Linked DNA regions of Elephas maximus indicus. The protein of the gene in region 1 interacts with the protein of each later gene in a pairwise test. Links are inferred from orthologs where the notes say so. Each region holds a gene or a part of one and is shown on either strand. Other genes may lie near its edges.

The links. The genes of interacting proteins can lie anywhere in the genome.
Region 2: the proteins of PKNOX1 (region 1) and PBX2 interact in binary tests that used the Homo sapiens proteins (3 or more experiments, as listed by UniProt). The link is inferred for Elephas maximus indicus from reciprocal best matches to the Homo sapiens genes PKNOX1 and PBX2.

The regions. Positions count from the first base shown.
Region 1 is NC_064820.1:226,908,337-226,916,366, forward strand, and holds the start of PKNOX1 (homeobox protein PKNOX1), read left to right. Parts: upstream 1-4,998; 5' UTR 4,999-5,056; exon of another isoform or gene 5,057-5,511; intron 5,512-5,743; exon of another isoform or gene 5,744-5,884; intron 5,885-8,030. UniProt on the Homo sapiens protein: Activates transcription in the presence of PBX1A and HOXA1.
Region 2 is NC_064819.1:93,677,858-93,685,534, reverse strand, and holds the start of PBX2 (pre-B-cell leukemia transcription factor 2), read left to right. Parts: upstream 1-4,568; 5' UTR 4,569-4,581; coding exon 4,582-4,802; intron 4,803-5,696; coding exon 5,697-5,770; intron 5,771-6,005; coding exon 6,006-6,253; intron 6,254-6,364; coding exon 6,365-6,555; intron 6,556-6,711; coding exon 6,712-6,847; intron 6,848-6,972; coding exon 6,973-7,126; intron 7,127-7,497; coding exon 7,498-7,586; intron 7,587-7,677. Other genes in the region: GPSM3 (G-protein-signaling modulator 3), read left to right, coding at 1,773-1,817, 2,036-2,141, 2,355-2,554, 2,762-2,899. UniProt on the Homo sapiens protein: Transcriptional activator that binds the sequence 5'-ATCAATCAA-3'. Activates transcription of PF4 in complex with MEIS1.

The DNA.
Region 1 (8,030 bases):
GAAGCACAGCTCCCCAGTGGACTGAGGACCATTCCTTGGAGTGGGTGGACATGGGTGGAATGTGGCAACCAGTCATGAAGCACAGCTCCCCAGTGGACTGAGGACCATCCCTTGGTGTGGGTGGACATGGGTGGAACATGGTGACCAGTCATGAAGCACAGCTCCCCAGTGGACTGAGGACCATCCTCACCTGTGGGTGAGTAAGGAGCACAATGAGAATTCTTGAACCACAGGATCCGGGCCATTTGACTGGACCAGAGCTCAGGCCCTATGATTCCCCTGACAATTCCTCCAGCCAGCTGTGTTTCTAGGTTAGGATTTTCTCAACAACTAAACCCAGATTTCACAGTGTAAGGAAATTTAGGACAAGCAAAAAGGAATACTGAGCATCTCCAATGGGAAACTATACATTCTTGAGAACTTGCCCTTTTAGGTTATCTGATTCGAACTTTTCATTAACTTTGAGCTATTGTACAATCTATGAATTGTAGAGAACTGCCTTAGTCATCTTAATCATCTAGTGCTGCTATAACAGAAATACCACAAGTGGATGGCTTTACCAAAGAGAAATTTATTCTCTTAGAGTTTAGGAGGCTAGAAGTCCAAATTCAGGATACCAGCTCCAGAGCAAGGCTTTCTCTCTCTGTCGGCTCTGGAGGAAGGTCCTCGTCATCAATCTTCCCTTGGTCTAGGAGCTTATCCATGCAGAAACTCCAGGTCCAAAAGATGCATTCTGCTCCCAGAGCTGCTTTCTTGGTGGTATGAGGTCTCCCTGTCTCTCTGCTCACTCCTCTCTTTAATATCTCAAAAGAGATTGACTTAAGACACAACCTAATCATGTAGATTGGGTCCTGCCTCATTAACATAACTGCCCGCTAATCCCACCTCATTAACATCATAGTTGTAGGATTTACAACAGGTAGGAAAATCACATCAGACGACAAAACGGTAGACAATCACACAATACTGGGAATCACGGACTAGCCAAGTTGACACTTATTTTGGGGGGACACAATCCAATCCATAATAAAAACTAAGTGCAGCCACCGCCCATCTGTTAGTGGAGGCTTGTGTGTTGCTATGATGCTCAACCAGTTTCAGAGGAGCTTCCAGACTAAAATGGACTAGGAAGAAAGACCTGCTGATCTGCCTCCAAAAATCAGTCAGTGAAAACCGTGTGGGGCACAATGGTCCAATCCTGCTGTGCATGGGGTCACCATGAGTAAGTGGTCTACCTGGGGGCAGCTAACAATAACAATGACAATGCAAATGATTTTTTTCTATGGACATGTAAATGGATTCTGCACAGGGTAAGGACAACCTTCCCCACACCCTCCACTAGCTAGTTTTGCACAATTTGCAAGTTAGTTCCAGTACTCTTGTTCTTTGCATTTTCCTTCGAACTGGCTCTAACATCTTACCAGTTTTCCCATGTAAAGAATGAGTTCAATAAAACATTTGCCACATGTTCATCAGTGAATGACAGTAAAATTCCTACTCATGTGATGAGTAAAGTCTAGTGTTTATGCGTGCCTGCCTGCGTGTGTGTGCTGTTTCGGACAACAGACGGAACAAATAAGTTAGTTATACAGCGTTATAGATTGAATTGTATCCCCCAAGAAGATATGCTGAAGTCCTGATCTCCAGTACCTATGAATGTGACCCTATTTGGAAATAGGGTCTTCGAAGATGTGATCAGTTAGGTTAACATGAAGTCATACTGGAGTAAGGTGGGTCCTAATCCTCTATGAGTGATGCCCTTATAAAAGAATAGTAGAGACAGAAAGAAAGACACAAGAAGGATGGCCATGTGAAGACGGAGGCAGACATTTGGAGTGCTGCATCTATAAGCCAAGGAGTGCCTGGAGCTAACAGAAGTTAGGAAACCCTGGTGGGATAGTGGAAACCCTGTGGTACAGTGGTTAGGAGCTTGGCTGCTAACCTAAAGGTTGGCAGTTTGAATCCACCAGGCACTCCTTGGAAACTCTATGGGGCAGTACTACTCTGTCCTATAGGGTCGCTATGAGTCTGAATCAGCTCAATGGCAATAGGTTTGGGTTTTTTTTTTTGGTGGTATAGTAGCTAAGAGCTACAGTTGCTAACCAAAAGGTCAGCAGTTCAAATCTACCAGGTGCCCTGTGGAACCCCTATGGGGCTATCCTATAGGGTCATTATGACTCAGAATCCATTCGACGGCAATGGGTTTAACAGAAGTTGGGAGAGAGGTACGGAATAGATTCTTGCTCAGAGCCTCTGAGGAAACAACATGGCAGACACGGTGACTTGGACTTCAAGGCTTCAGAACTGAGATAATAAATTTCCATTCCTACAAGCCACCCAGTTTGTGGTACTTGCTAAGGCAGCCCGAGAAAACGAATACATGTAATAATTACACAGTATGTCAGAAGTACCTGTACAAACCCCATGGAGAAGAAAGCAGGCTGAGGGAATATTACGGATTGAATTGTGTCATTCCCCCCTCCCCCCGCCCCGCATTTGTGCTGTGAACCCTAAACCCTGTAGTGGTCCTACTTTGTTCTATAGCGTTGCTATGAGTCAGAATCCACTTGACCACACGGGTTTGGTTTGGTTTTTGTAGTGGTTATAATCCCATTTAGGAATGGACTTTCTTTGTTATGTTAATGAGGAAGTATTAGTGTAGGGCGTGTCTTAAATCAATCTCTTTGGAGATATAAAAGAGATTAAACAAGCAATCAAGAAATGGAGAGTGAAAGAGAATCTCAAAATAGACAAGGGACTTCCCCAAGCACTGACAGAAAGCCTTGCCCTAAAGCCAGCCCTCCCCCGCCCCCAAATTCAGACTACTAACCTCCTAAACTGTGAGAGAATAAATTTCTGTTTGTGAAAGCCATCCATCTGTGATATTTCTGTTATGGCAGCACTAGATGACTAAGACAGGGAGATAGGATTTATACTGGGGACTTAAATTTTAAACCTGAGAAACTGATATTGAAGCAAAGGCTTCAGGGAGGTGAGAGAGAGAACCATGTGGATATGTCTGGGAAGAGTGCTTCAGGCAGAGGGAACATGCAGTGCCAAGGTCCTGAGGCAAAGCAGGTCTGGTGTGATCAAGGAGCAGCAGGGGGACTGATTTGATGCGAGCCGGTGAATGAGGAAGGTAGTGTGGGCACTGAGGTCAGACAGGCATGGTGGCAGGGAAAGATCACATAGGGTTTGGGGGTTCCTGTGAAGACTCTGGAAACCTTGGTGGCATTGTAGTTAAGAGCTACTGCTGCTAACCAAAAGGTCTGCAGTTCAAATCCACCAGGTGCTCCTTGGAAACTCTGTGGGGCAGCTCTACTCTACAGGGTCGCTATGAGTCGGAATCAACTCGACGGCAATGGGTTAATGGTGAAGAGATGGGAGCTCTGCCTGGGGGGGAGGAGGGTTGTTGAGAGGAGTGGGATAGTCTAAGACATTTTTAAAAGGATCATGCCCTACTAATTGCTGGTGCCCCCCAACTGACCCAGGCGAACTGAAGCAGTTTAAGCATCAGCCAAACTGGCCATCTTGATAAGCAGAAACCTAGCCCTTATTTTTAAGAGGCTTTCTCATTCATTTTTCTTCCCTAAGCCTCTCCAAAAGGTCCCCAGGTGGGGCAAATGGTTTTCCCTCAACTGCTAACTTCAAGGTTGGCGGTTCAAACCCACCCAGTGCCACTGTGGAAGAAAGGGCTGGTGATCTGCTTCTGGAAAGATTACAGCCAAGAAAACCCTACGGGGCAGTTCTACTCTGTAACACACAGGGTCACCATGAGCTGGAATCGACTCTATGGCAATGCGTTTGTTTTTTGTGGTTGTTTTTAAGCCTCTCCAGATCCTAAGCATCTGTTAAGGACAAGCCATGCCCTTATTCCTGGAACTCTGCTAGGCCATCAACCTTGTGATGCAGCACATGGGGGTACTGGGCCTTGCTGGGGTCGCGGATGGCGCTTGCACTGGATTTTCAGCTCTGCACAGGGCCCGAGTCTTACCTCTCTTTTATGTCCTTACCAGCCTGAGGCAGGGTTGGGCAGTCAGTAAGGCTGGCACATTCCTGTGGTTTCCCTCAAAGTGCTCACCAGTGTTCCTGCCGGCTCTCACCTAGCATGCCACCTCCCCCACCATCTCTGGGGCCACATCTGCAGGAGATGATGGGGAGAAAAGAAAAGACGCAGCAGCCAGAGAAGGCTCCTGCTGGACATACCAGAGAGCTCTGAGGCCAGACGGTGGGGTGGACTGGGCCTGGGCCTCAGCTGGCCCCTGGGCTTTCCAGCAATAGTTTGTACTGGGTTCTGGGTGACTGAAGACACCCAGGTCCTGCGGTTCTGAAGCCCCCACTGCCTTAAAGGCTTGATGGGAACCAAATAAAAGCTACTGACGAGGGTGAGGCAGGTGATGGCAAGGCTGGGCTCACAGCACAAGGCCCCTTGCTTATGTAATGCTCTGCTGTTGCCATCTTGGAATTCATACTAATTTTCTGAACAAGGGACCTTGAATTTCCATTTTACGCTGCACCTTGACAGTTATGCCGCCAGTCTTGACTACTGAGTTTTCGGGGGGCCTCTCTGCGTATTCCACCTGCCTCACTCACCCTGGCCCCTGCTCTGCTACACTTTGTCCCTGAAAAATGCATTCTGCATGTGGTTTCATGGTGTCTGTGGACCCATGCAGCCATATTAAGAATCTTATCCCTGCTGTTCATGCCTGGTCCACCTCAGTCATCCTCCAGCAAGTTCCCCATTCTGGGCCCTGGAGGAGGTGGGTGCAAGCTGAGCTGCCCTTCTTTACCGCTGTGTGTGGACTTAATATCGAGGTTCGTCCTGGGTGGGCCGTTCTAGAAAACGTTCACAGTCAGACAAACAATGTGCATTCGCACTGCGGAAGGAGCTGCCCTTTCCTTAGGTTCCTGGAGTGCTGCGGCCCGTGGGAATGGTCGGTACCTTGTAAACAGGCTATGCTGGGAGGCTGGCCCCTGACAGTACAGGCGTCCTCTGCCAGCGGAGCTCCGATGTTACCTTGACACAAGGGCCTGCTGGGGTCTCCTGGGCGGAAAGGTACGCTGACACCATGTGGACTGGAGACCCGGCGGACCCGGGGGCGTGCCTGCAGTTTTCACCCAGCCCACGCCGCCAGTCTCGTGGCCGGAAGGAAGCCCTCTGCCGAGGGTCGATGGGGGCCACCCATGCCGCAGGTCCCATCGACAGCGACCCCAGACGCCGAGCACAGCCTGCTGCCACGGGTTTGGGGCGAAGCGGGGCGCGCGCAAGTGCGCTCCGCAGTTTCATCCTAGCTCGGTAGAGGGGCGCCCCGCAGACAAAGGGGGAGCCGCGCACCCTGGGCGGGCCCGGTGCCTGCAGGCCGAGGGGGTCGGCGGCTGCATCCTCGGATAGTACAGCCCGGGCCTCCCTGCCTGACCGCGGAACATGGTCTCGCCCAGCCCGGAGCTGCGATCCCAGAGCCTCTTCCAGTGGCAGGGACGGCGCGGCGGGGGCGTGGCGCGCGCCCGAGGCCACGCCTATCGCTGCATAGTCATAAGGCCAGGAATCCCTGCCTGCGGGGCGGGCCGCTCCTCGCGCCCGGGCGCGGCCAGCTGGGGGCGTAGCCGGGCTGGGCGCGAGGCGGGGCGGAGCCGGCAGCTGGCCCACCCCCGCGCCGGGCCCCGCCCCCAGCCCCCGCCTCGCAGGCCGCGGGGCGGGGCCCGTGGCCGGCAGGCTCCGCCCCCGCGCTGAATATTGATGTGGCGCGCGTCGGCGTCGCCCTCCTCCCATTGAGCGAGGCTGTGTCGCGTGGCCCAGCGTCGGCGTGACGGTTGGACGCGGGCGCGGCACTGCGGGTCCCGATTGCTGCAGCCGCTTGTCAGTGTGATGAAGATTGGCACCCAGGTAAGCTGTCACTCAACCGCTCCGCCGCCGCCGCCGCAGCTCTCCGCCGCCGCCATCCCTATCAATCACGCGGGCCGAGCCGCCGCAGCCGCCACCCCAGCGCCGCCGCCCGGGTAGCGGCGGGCCGGCGGTGCCGAGGGGAGCCCACCCTTGACCCGCCACCCCGGGCAGGGGGCGGGAGGGGGGCGCGCGGGCAGCGGGTGGGGGAGGGGAGCTGGCGGCTGCCGGGGCGGGGGCGCTGTCCGTCCGGAGCTGACGCGGGGTCGCGCCGAGTTTGTTTTTGAGTGTCGGTTTAGGCAGAAGGAAATTTCTGGAAGGCGCCGCCGCCGCCTCGCTGGGCCCGCTGCGAGGCGCGCGCTCTTAACCGTCCTTTTCGGAGCGCGGCGCGCGCCCCTGCGCGGGGCGGGGGCGGCAGTGGGGGGAGGGGAGCGGGCCGCGGGCGCGCGCGGGCCGGGAGGGGCGGGGCTGGGAACCGGAGGCGCGCGCTGGGCGGGGCGGGGCTTGAGGCCGCGGGGGCGCGCGCACCGGAAGAGTGGGGGGGCTAGGGCCGCGGGGGCGCGCGCCGGCCGCGGGGGCGCGCGCCGGCCGCGGGCGGAAACGGGCTGCGAGGTCCCCGGTTTCTGTCGCGGTCGCGGGGGGACAGGTGCACCAGGCGGCGGGTCTCCGGGGCTGCCGGCGGCGGGGCTCGCGCGGTCCGGGAGGCGGGAAAATGGCGGCTGCGCGCAGGCCCGGCTTGAGGCGGGGTCGGGCCGCGCTGAGGGGGCGTCCCCAGCCGCGCGGCGCTCGGAGGCGCCCTGGCCTCGTGGAGCTGCTCCGGGCTCGCGGGGCGCAGGCCGAGCCCTGCCGACCCGGGGTCCCACACGCCGGCCCCGCCGCGGGACCCGTGCTTCCGCGCCCCGCGACCGCGCAGCTGGTGAAGGGGCGACCCCAGGGTGACCGGGGGACCCGAGCGCCCACTTCCGAGGGGCCGGCGCGGCGTTCAGACGGCCTGCGCCTGGGCTGTTTGCGGAGGGCTGGGGTTCCCGTTTGTAGGGAATTAGTTAAAAGTGTATTGTTTATACTAAATGGCAATTTTGAAATAGATGGCTGGAAGTCTTTGGCGTGGTCTGGCCGCTCGCAGGATTTTCACATTCCTTTAGAGAAAATGAGTCACTTAAGAAAAATCAAGTCTGCTTTCTTTCCTCCTAGTGGCTCTGGAAATGCCCTATTTTGACAGTGGCTCTGAGACTTGACCCGTTAGGCCCTTCATTTGTCATGGTTGACTCATAAAATACGACTTAGAATTTATTGATAGAAGCGATGAGGGCAGAAGTTACAGATACTTGGGGGCTGTGTGTGCGCGCACCAGCTTGTACATAAACAAGTGGACATTCGATACATTTGATGGTGGACTTGCAACAATCCAGGCTATATTGGACATGTTAGGGCGTGAAGAGGAACTCTGGTTGTGCAGTGGTTAAGCGCTAGGCTGCTAACTGAAAGATTGGAGGTTCAAACCTACCGGAACCCACCATCCGCTCTGCGGGAGAAAGATGTGGCAGTCTGCTTCTGCAAAGATTACAGCCTGGGAGACCCTATGGGGCGGCTCTTCTCTGTCCCATAGGGTCCCTGTGAGTCAAAATCAATTGGATGGCAACTTTTTTTTTTTTTTTTCTTAAGGGCGTGATAATTTAGTTTTTTAGATAGTAAGAATTGGCTTTATGTAAAATTGACTTTCCTTAGGAAGTAGATACATTCCACTTTAGTGTGGGAAAAACAACAACGCATCTTAAGCATCATTTCATAGTTTTCCCTGGTATGTTGGAAAAGTGGACTTCACTAAGTATTACAGGGAAGCATTGAGGTGAAATGTAAAACTCTTTGGCAGAATAGTTATTGGTGATATTCTCGAGTTGTAGGTACATTGGTTTGGAAGACAGCTGACAGACTACTCAACCTTGCCTTTCATTGTTTTCCTTTCCCCTAATTTACTCCTCTGGCTGCCAGCTTGTAGCAGCACATCTAATTAGCATGGAGAATGGTACCTGGATCATCTAGTTACAATGTTTCATTGAATCTAAAATGTACCTTTTGATATGCCACTCAAAGTGCTCACACTTTTAACCCACACAGTGCTGTTTTAGCATAGCAATGGACTGAGGCTTCC
Region 2 (7,677 bases), on another chromosome or scaffold:
CTGTCACCCCACAATAAAGCTGATTTGAAGTGTGACTTTTTTTTTTGGAGGGGTTGGGAGCAAAAGGAGAAAAAACATGAGAATGACTGGAATTTTTGTGCCCTATGTTCAACATTTGGATGAGGGCTTTGAGTATGGTTAAAGAGCAAGAATAGGTTTGGGATCCCAATCTAATTTACTCATATAGGGTCGCTGAAAGGGTCTAGTAGCCCAGGGAGAACCCACATACACACTAGGACCCGCCCACTCTTTGTCCTTCACCCAAAGGCATTTAGTGATGACCACATAGGAGATGCCTAAGGCCGCAAGTTAAATAAAGGGAGATGGAGAGGGCATCTTAAGGGAAACTTTATCCACCTTTCAGCAACGTGGTTACACCTCTAATAGTGATGGGCCTAAGACACAGAGGTGTAAAGTGTTTGAAAGTTAAAAATAGCTATCATTTACCAAGCATTCATTTTGTGCCAAGTGCTTTATCATATTTAATCCTCACATCAACTCTATGAGCTATGGGCTATTAAAACCCCCATTTTCTTCTTTTAGGAACAGGCACAGAGAGGTGTATTTGCCCAAGATTGCACAGCATTAAGTGGTAGAACCAGATCTTCATGCTCTAAGTCAGTCAGTGTAAGCCCCCAATGTGGCAGGTTGCCATTTAAAAAAAAAAAAATTGCCATCTAGTCAATTCCGACTCATAGCGACCCTATAGTACAGAGTAGAACCACTCCATAGGGTTCCCAAGGAGGATTCGAACTGCCAACCTTTTGGTTAGCAGCCAAGCTCTTAACCACTGTGCCACCAGGGCTCCATTTAGAGGCCTCAAATGTCTCTACCTGTCCTGCTGCTGCCTTGGTGACAGCCACCTTGACCAGCATTAATCAAGGAGAGAGCAGGGAGGTGGTCTGCTCCCTTTTCCATTTCTATATCCCTCGTTTATGACCGGAGGAAAGTTCCCCTGCCCCTTGTCTGCACTAAACTATGATTTGCCTGAGTGAACTTCATTCCATTTTCTCATTTGGTGCACGTCTTGTCCCCTGTAAACAACTTAAGGTCAGGGATAATTGTTCAACACATTTATTAGATACTCAGTAAATACACAATATTTACTGTATATTTAGCATGTGTTGGAGCCGGTGCTGGGGGTATAGGTGTATAAGCTTGAGGGCAGAACATTCCTGGGTCTGTGTACTCTGCTTCTCACTGGGACACCGCACCTTCTAGTCCCAATAGGTCTGCGGATGTGTGGGGAGGGCCAAATCCTATGTCAGGGTCTATCTTGGAGAAGAAACGGACCTGGGCGGGGGAGGGGCTGGGGGGTTCTGAGGAGTGAAACCACTTCCTGTGTAGCTAGTTCCTGTGTTGACAGTGTTGACAGAAAGAGCTGAAGGGGAGGCAGGGGTGGAGGGAACAAAGCCAGGGGCTATGGGGGTGCTGAGGCTGTGGGGATAAGAAAGGCAGGAGTCCTTCCCCACCGAGAGCCCCCCTCTAACTCCTGCGGCTGGAGGAGCTTTTCCTGATCTCTGTGTTCCCCTGGGGCTAGAGAGGTCGAGCAACTCTTTGGGTGGGAAAAGAGAACTGGAGGAAGTTGACAGGGATGGGCGGGGCCCGTGGGGGGGCTGACCAGGAACCCAGCTTCCTGCTCAGAACCCAGGCATCTAGCCCCCAGCTGGCCCCCACCCCTTCCAGCCCCCACTCCCCTCTGGAACCCAGGGTTCTGGCACTCTTCCCAAATCCCAGCCACCCCTCCCCCACCAGTTTCTCCCCTCCAGGGGATGGAGACCGAAAGAGCCCAGGACGGAGAAGAGGATGGTGAGCAGGTGAGCCGGGCACTAAGGGGGAAGACTGACACTTGACGAGAGGGAGGGGAGAGGACCCAGGCAGAGACCCAGCAACGGAGAACTCAGGAGACTTAAAAGGGCTTGGGCACACTGAGGCAGGAAGGGAGACACAGAGAGGAAGCAGGCCGCTGGCCTAGCCCCCTGCCCACTCCACCTTCTCTACCCACCCCTGCTTGACTGGAACGGACATCTCCCAGCATCAGGGCCCTTCCCAGGATGAACAGGGCTGGCCCCCTCTAAACACCACCACTCGGCCTTGGCGATCTGCTCCTCCGTCCCCTCCTCCAGGGAACCGCCACACAGGTACCTCTACCGCCCAGGGAGCTCCCAACCCTGGTTCCATCTTTCGTGATCCCATTACCAAGACCATTGTGGGCCCTCCCCTCCACCTCCTCCAGACTGTCCATCACACCCCCTCAGCTCTAACCCCAAGTCCCTAATCACCTCACCCTATTCCCCCCCCCACCCATCTCTCAAGTTCTCTGGTTCTCTGAGCCCTCCCCCTCCTCTCCCCAGCCCTAGGGCCCCGCTCGGCCTCCCTGCTCTCCCTGCAGACAGAGCGCCTTCTGGACCTAGTGGCTGAGGCCCAGTCCCGCCGTCTGGAGGAGCAGAGGGCCACCTTCTGTGTCCCCCAGATCCCCCCAAACCGAGCCCCAGCCCCACCCCGGCCTCTTGAGGACAGAGAACAGCTCTACAGCACCATCCTCAGTCACCAGGTGAGACACCTCCAGAAGGCAAGACCCAGACCTCTTGGCCCCCTAGTCCCTGTTCTGTTTCAGGCCCTACCTCTCCTTCTACCCAGACAACTGCCCCATTGCCTGCTCTTTAGTCTCCCCATCCTCATCATAGGTATCCTGTATCCCCACACTAACCCTGGCTCCCCTCAGAGCCTCACCAACACCCTTCTCCCTCCACTCCTCCAGTGCCAGCGGATGGAAGCCCAGCGGTCAGAGCCTCCCCTACCCCCAGGAGGACAGGAGCTCCTGGAGTTGCTGCTGAGGGTTCAGGGTGGGGGACGAATGGAAGAGCAAAGGTCCAGACCTCCCACACATACTTGCTGAGACCTGAACTGGCCCCTCTGCGCTCCTGGGGCTCAAAGCTGGGCGGCCCACTGCCTGCCCTCAACCCTGCTTGGCAGGGGCAGCAGAGACTGGAAGACCCAAAAGAAATCTCAATATTCATCCTTTTTTTTTTTCTAGACTAGCACCCTGGTGGCGTAGTGGTTAAGTGCTACGGCTGCTAACCAAAGGGTCGGCAGCTCAAATCCGCCAGGCGCTCCTTGGAAACACTATGGGGCAGTTCTACTCTGTCCTATAGGGTCACTATGAGTCGGAATCGACTCGATGGCACTGGGTTTTTTAGACCAGCACCCGTGGGAAATAGAGGGGGTGAAAATTCTCAAACCCTGTTAATAGTAAAAAGGCAAGGTAGGATGATCATTGAACTCCCTCCCCAAGTACTTGGGAGCTTGAGGCGGTGAGGGGATCCCAGCTACCAGGGGACACCCCACTCCTAGATCTCAGGGGGTGGTTGGGAATCTCCAGCAGGAGCTGTCGAGACATCCCTAGGAGTCAACCCACCAGGCAGGGTCTGAGAACTCAGGCCTCCACCTTGCAAGAAAAGGCAAACGTCCCAAGGTTGTGACTGGAGAGACAGCCCACCCTCCTTCCCAGTTAGAAGAAAGGAAGGGTGGGTGGGCAAGAAGAGAGATTAAGACTGTCTGCCGACGCCCACCAAGGCATTCCCCCGCCCCAGGGCTGAGGGGCCTAGAGGCTGGAAACAGACCACTAGCCCTGCCCACCCGCCGTCCCCGCCGCCGCCTCTGCTCGCTGCTCGGAGTCAGTCTGATGTTTTGGTTGTGTGAATAAATTTAATTCCCCTCTGGACTGAAGGCTAGTGTCTGGAGGGCTGGGGTTGGAGGGTGGGAAGGTAAGGCCGGAGGCCGCCTTTCTCCTTAGGCTGGCCAGAGGCCAGCTCCCCTCTCTGGCTGGTTAATTACTGGCTCATTAAGCAGCAGCTGGAGACCTCCCTAATTATCCCCCCCCCAGTCCCCCTCTCCCAGTTTTAATTAAATAGAACTAGAAGGGGAGTCATTAGGACAAGAAATATGAACTGAGCTGTCTGTGAACCCAGGCATTCCAGCGGCCGGAGAGTCCACATCACCGCGATCCCTGACGCGGAATCCAGGTGGCTGCCCCCCTCCAACCCCAACACGCCCCCTCCCGGACCACGGAAGTCCAGCCCGGGGGCCTTCCCGTATTGCCTCCAATGACCCAGTCTCCTCCCCTCGTCTCCTCATCCCTGTCCCCTCCTCCACTCGGTCTCAGTTCCTCTGTTTCTCTCTCTCTCCGCCCCCAGCTCCTCCCTGTTCCTCCTCCCTTCTCCCCTCCTCTTCCTCCGCGGCTCCCCTCCCCCCGCCTCCCTCCCTCGCTCCCCCCCTTCTCCCTCCTCCCTCCTCCCTCTCTCTCACACACCCCCGCTTGGGCCTCCTCTCTCTCTCTCTCTCTCTCTCTCTCCGGCTCCATTTTCTCCGCCGCCGGGGGCCCGGGGTCTCCTGTGGGGGGCCCAGCCGGTACCCCAGGTCTCCCTTCAGCGCCGGGGTGAACCCCCGGGGGAGCCGAGAGGGAGGAGAGGGGCGGGGGTGGGGGCGGAGGGAGCAGCGGCCCCGGCGAGGTTGGGGGGAGAAGTAACCAGGCGGGGGGAGGGGCGGAGCAGGGAGGGGGCCCCAGGGCCCCCCCCAGCTATGGATGAGCGGCTGCTGGGGCCGCCCCCTCCAGGCGGGGGCCGGGGGGGTCTGGGATTGGTGAGTGGGGAGCCTGGGGGCCCTGGCGAGCCTCCCGGTGGCGGAGACCCCGGTGGGGGCAGCGGGGGGGTCCCGGGAGGCCGAGGGAAGCAAGACATCGGGGACATTCTGCAGCAGATAATGACCATCACCGACCAGAGCCTGGACGAGGCCCAGGCCAAGTGAGTGCCCCCACCCCGGGACCCTACACAGACCTGGCAGGACCCTATTCACAGTCTCTGAATCTTCTGGGAGCCCTCTAACTCCAGAAGCCTTTCCGGAATCCTTCAGCTCTCGATTATCCTCTCCTTACTCCTGGGACCCCTGAGATAAGTGATCCCTCTTAAACCTCCCTTCACCCCCAGGCCCTGAAACCTTCACAGAGGGAACCCCAGGTAGTCTCACCCCCCCCTAACCTCTCGCTGACCCCTACACTTCCTTGGAACGTCCTTCTGTCTCTGGAGCCCCCTTCTGGCTCCCAGACTAAGAAACTGCTCTCAGGCTATGCCATCCTCTCCCCTAATTTTCCAGACCTGGGGGCCCCTGCACCCCCTCCCCAGAGCTCCTAACACTCCTCACCCACCCTTCCCCCTCAGCTCAGCCAGACAGTCAGCGAGTCATATCTTCCACCCTGCTCAGTTCCAGACTCCCTACTTGAGCTCAGCACCCCCAATTCTTCTCTGGCTCCCTCTGATACTCTTTTACACCCCAGCCTCCTGTTTTCCTCTGAAATCTACCTAGTCACCCTCATTTCTCCAGTGACCCCCTCCAAACTCTTTCTCTGCACGCTTCCTAGACCACTCCCCAAAGCCCCCAGCCCACCCATGGTTTCTTTAGCATCTTCCCTCAATCTTCCTGAAGCCAAGCTGCTTTCTCACATCTCCCGTAATATGGGAGCTGCCCCTTCCCAAGTCCCCCCAAATCCCTTCAACCCCCAACCCCACTTTCTATTTCCCTTCTCCTTCCACAGATTTTCCTGCCTCTCCCCTGGTTTTCAGGCTCTCTTCTTTCATCGTCTGCTCCACTTCTATAGCTGCTCAACTTTTCTCTCTTTCCCCACTCCCATTCCTCTGAAGGAAACACGCCCTAAATTGCCACCGAATGAAGCCTGCTCTCTTTAGCGTCCTGTGTGAAATCAAGGAGAAAACCGGTATGTGGTCTCTCTCTGATTCCTCAGCTCTGGGGACGGAACCCTGTTCACAACAAGTCTTGGGCTAAGAGTTTGACAACTTGGGGCCACGAGGAAAGTGAGGAGTCAGGGAGGTTGCAAAGGGCACTGGGGAGCAAACCAAAATTGGGAGACTTGGGGCTCTAAGAGGCACAAGGAGGGCTGAGAGCTGGGTGTGGGGGACCTAGGTCCCTAAATCCTTTTGCCTGCACGCTAGGCCTCAGCATCCGAAGCTCCCAAGAGGAGGAGCCGGTGGACCCGCAGCTGATGCGCTTGGACAACATGCTTCTGGCAGAGGGTGTGGCTGGACCTGAGAAAGGAGGGGGCTCAGCAGCAGCAGCTGCAGCAGCTGCAGCCTCTGGGGGTGGCGTATCCCCTGACAACTCCATTGAGCACTCGGACTATCGCAGCAAACTTGCCCAGATTCGCCACATCTACCACTCAGAGCTGGAGAAGTATGAGCAGGTGAGGAGAGAAGGCTGGGATGAATGGAGGGAGAGGCTCTTGGAGGAAGTCCCAAAGCCAAAGGACTCCTCCTCACCTCCTCATTGCATGCCTGCATGGGCCCCCATGCAGGCATGTAATGAGTTCACGACCCACGTCATGAATCTGCTGAGGGAGCAGAGCCGTACGCGGCCTGTGGCACCCAAGGAAATGGAGCGCATGGTGAGCATCATCCATCGAAAGTTCAGCGCCATCCAGATGCAGCTCAAGCAGAGCACCTGTGAGGCCGTCATGATCCTGCGTTCCCGCTTCCTGGATGCCAGGTGGGACCCAGGGGTTCCTTCCCATTCCTCTCCAGTCCCCAAGCCGCCATGTTGTATAACATGGTACCTTGTGACAGTGGTGTCCTCTGCAGTTACGGAACATGGTGCCCCTTCTAAGACACCAGCATCCTCATCACCCTTCTCCCTCCCCTGTAGGCGAAAACGTCGGAACTTCAGCAAACAGGCCACCGAGGTCCTAAATGAGTACTTCTACTCCCACCTGAGTAACCCCTATCCTAGCGAGGAGGCTAAGGAGGAGCTCGCCAAGAAGTGTGGCATTACTGTCTCTCAGGTATTGGGGGTGGGTGGCTTGGGGAGAAAGAGTCTTTGGGTAAAAAACTCTCAGCTCCCACTGAATAAGGAGTTTCAGAAGGAAGGGTGTCCTCCTGACCCTCCTTTCTGCCCAATACCCCACAGGTCTCCAACTGGTTTGGCAACAAACGGATTCGCTATAAGAAAAACATTGGAAAATTCCAAGAGGAGGCAAACATCTATGCTGTTAAGACTGCAGTGTCAGTCACTCAGGGGGGCCACAGCCGCACCAGCTCCCCGACACCCCCTTCCTCTGCAGGTGGATCCCACTGCCACCCTGCCGAGCTGTTTTGCACACTTCCTGCTTTTGTTCCCACTTCCTAATCTAGGCAGGATCATAGCAGAGGGGGTGCTTGGGGGTGAGAGGGGACAAGGTGGGGATGTCAGGGGACAGAGGCCACTTCAGTGTAGTTACTTCTGCCTTTCTTCCAGTGGGTGGCCAGAGGAGGCTCAGGAACAGCCTCTTTTTTCCAAGTGTTGGAATGTTGTTTTGTGGATAGTTTGGGTATAGTAGCACAGCCCAACAAAGCTAGTACAAAAGGGTTTTTAGAAACAGATTTGTGGTGAGTCACCTGTCTGCCCTTTCGGGCTCTGTTGTACTTCCCCTAATTCCCTATCTGTTCCCCCAAGGCTCTGGCGGCTCTTTCAATCTCTCAGGATCCGGAGACATGTTTCTGGGGATGCCTGGGCTCAACGGAGATTCCTATTCTGCTTCCCAGGTCAGATGCTCCATCTCCTTTTGAGTTGGGCCTTCTCAAACCTTGTTTCCATCCCTTTAGGATACAAGAACTTTTTCTTCCGCAGCTTCTC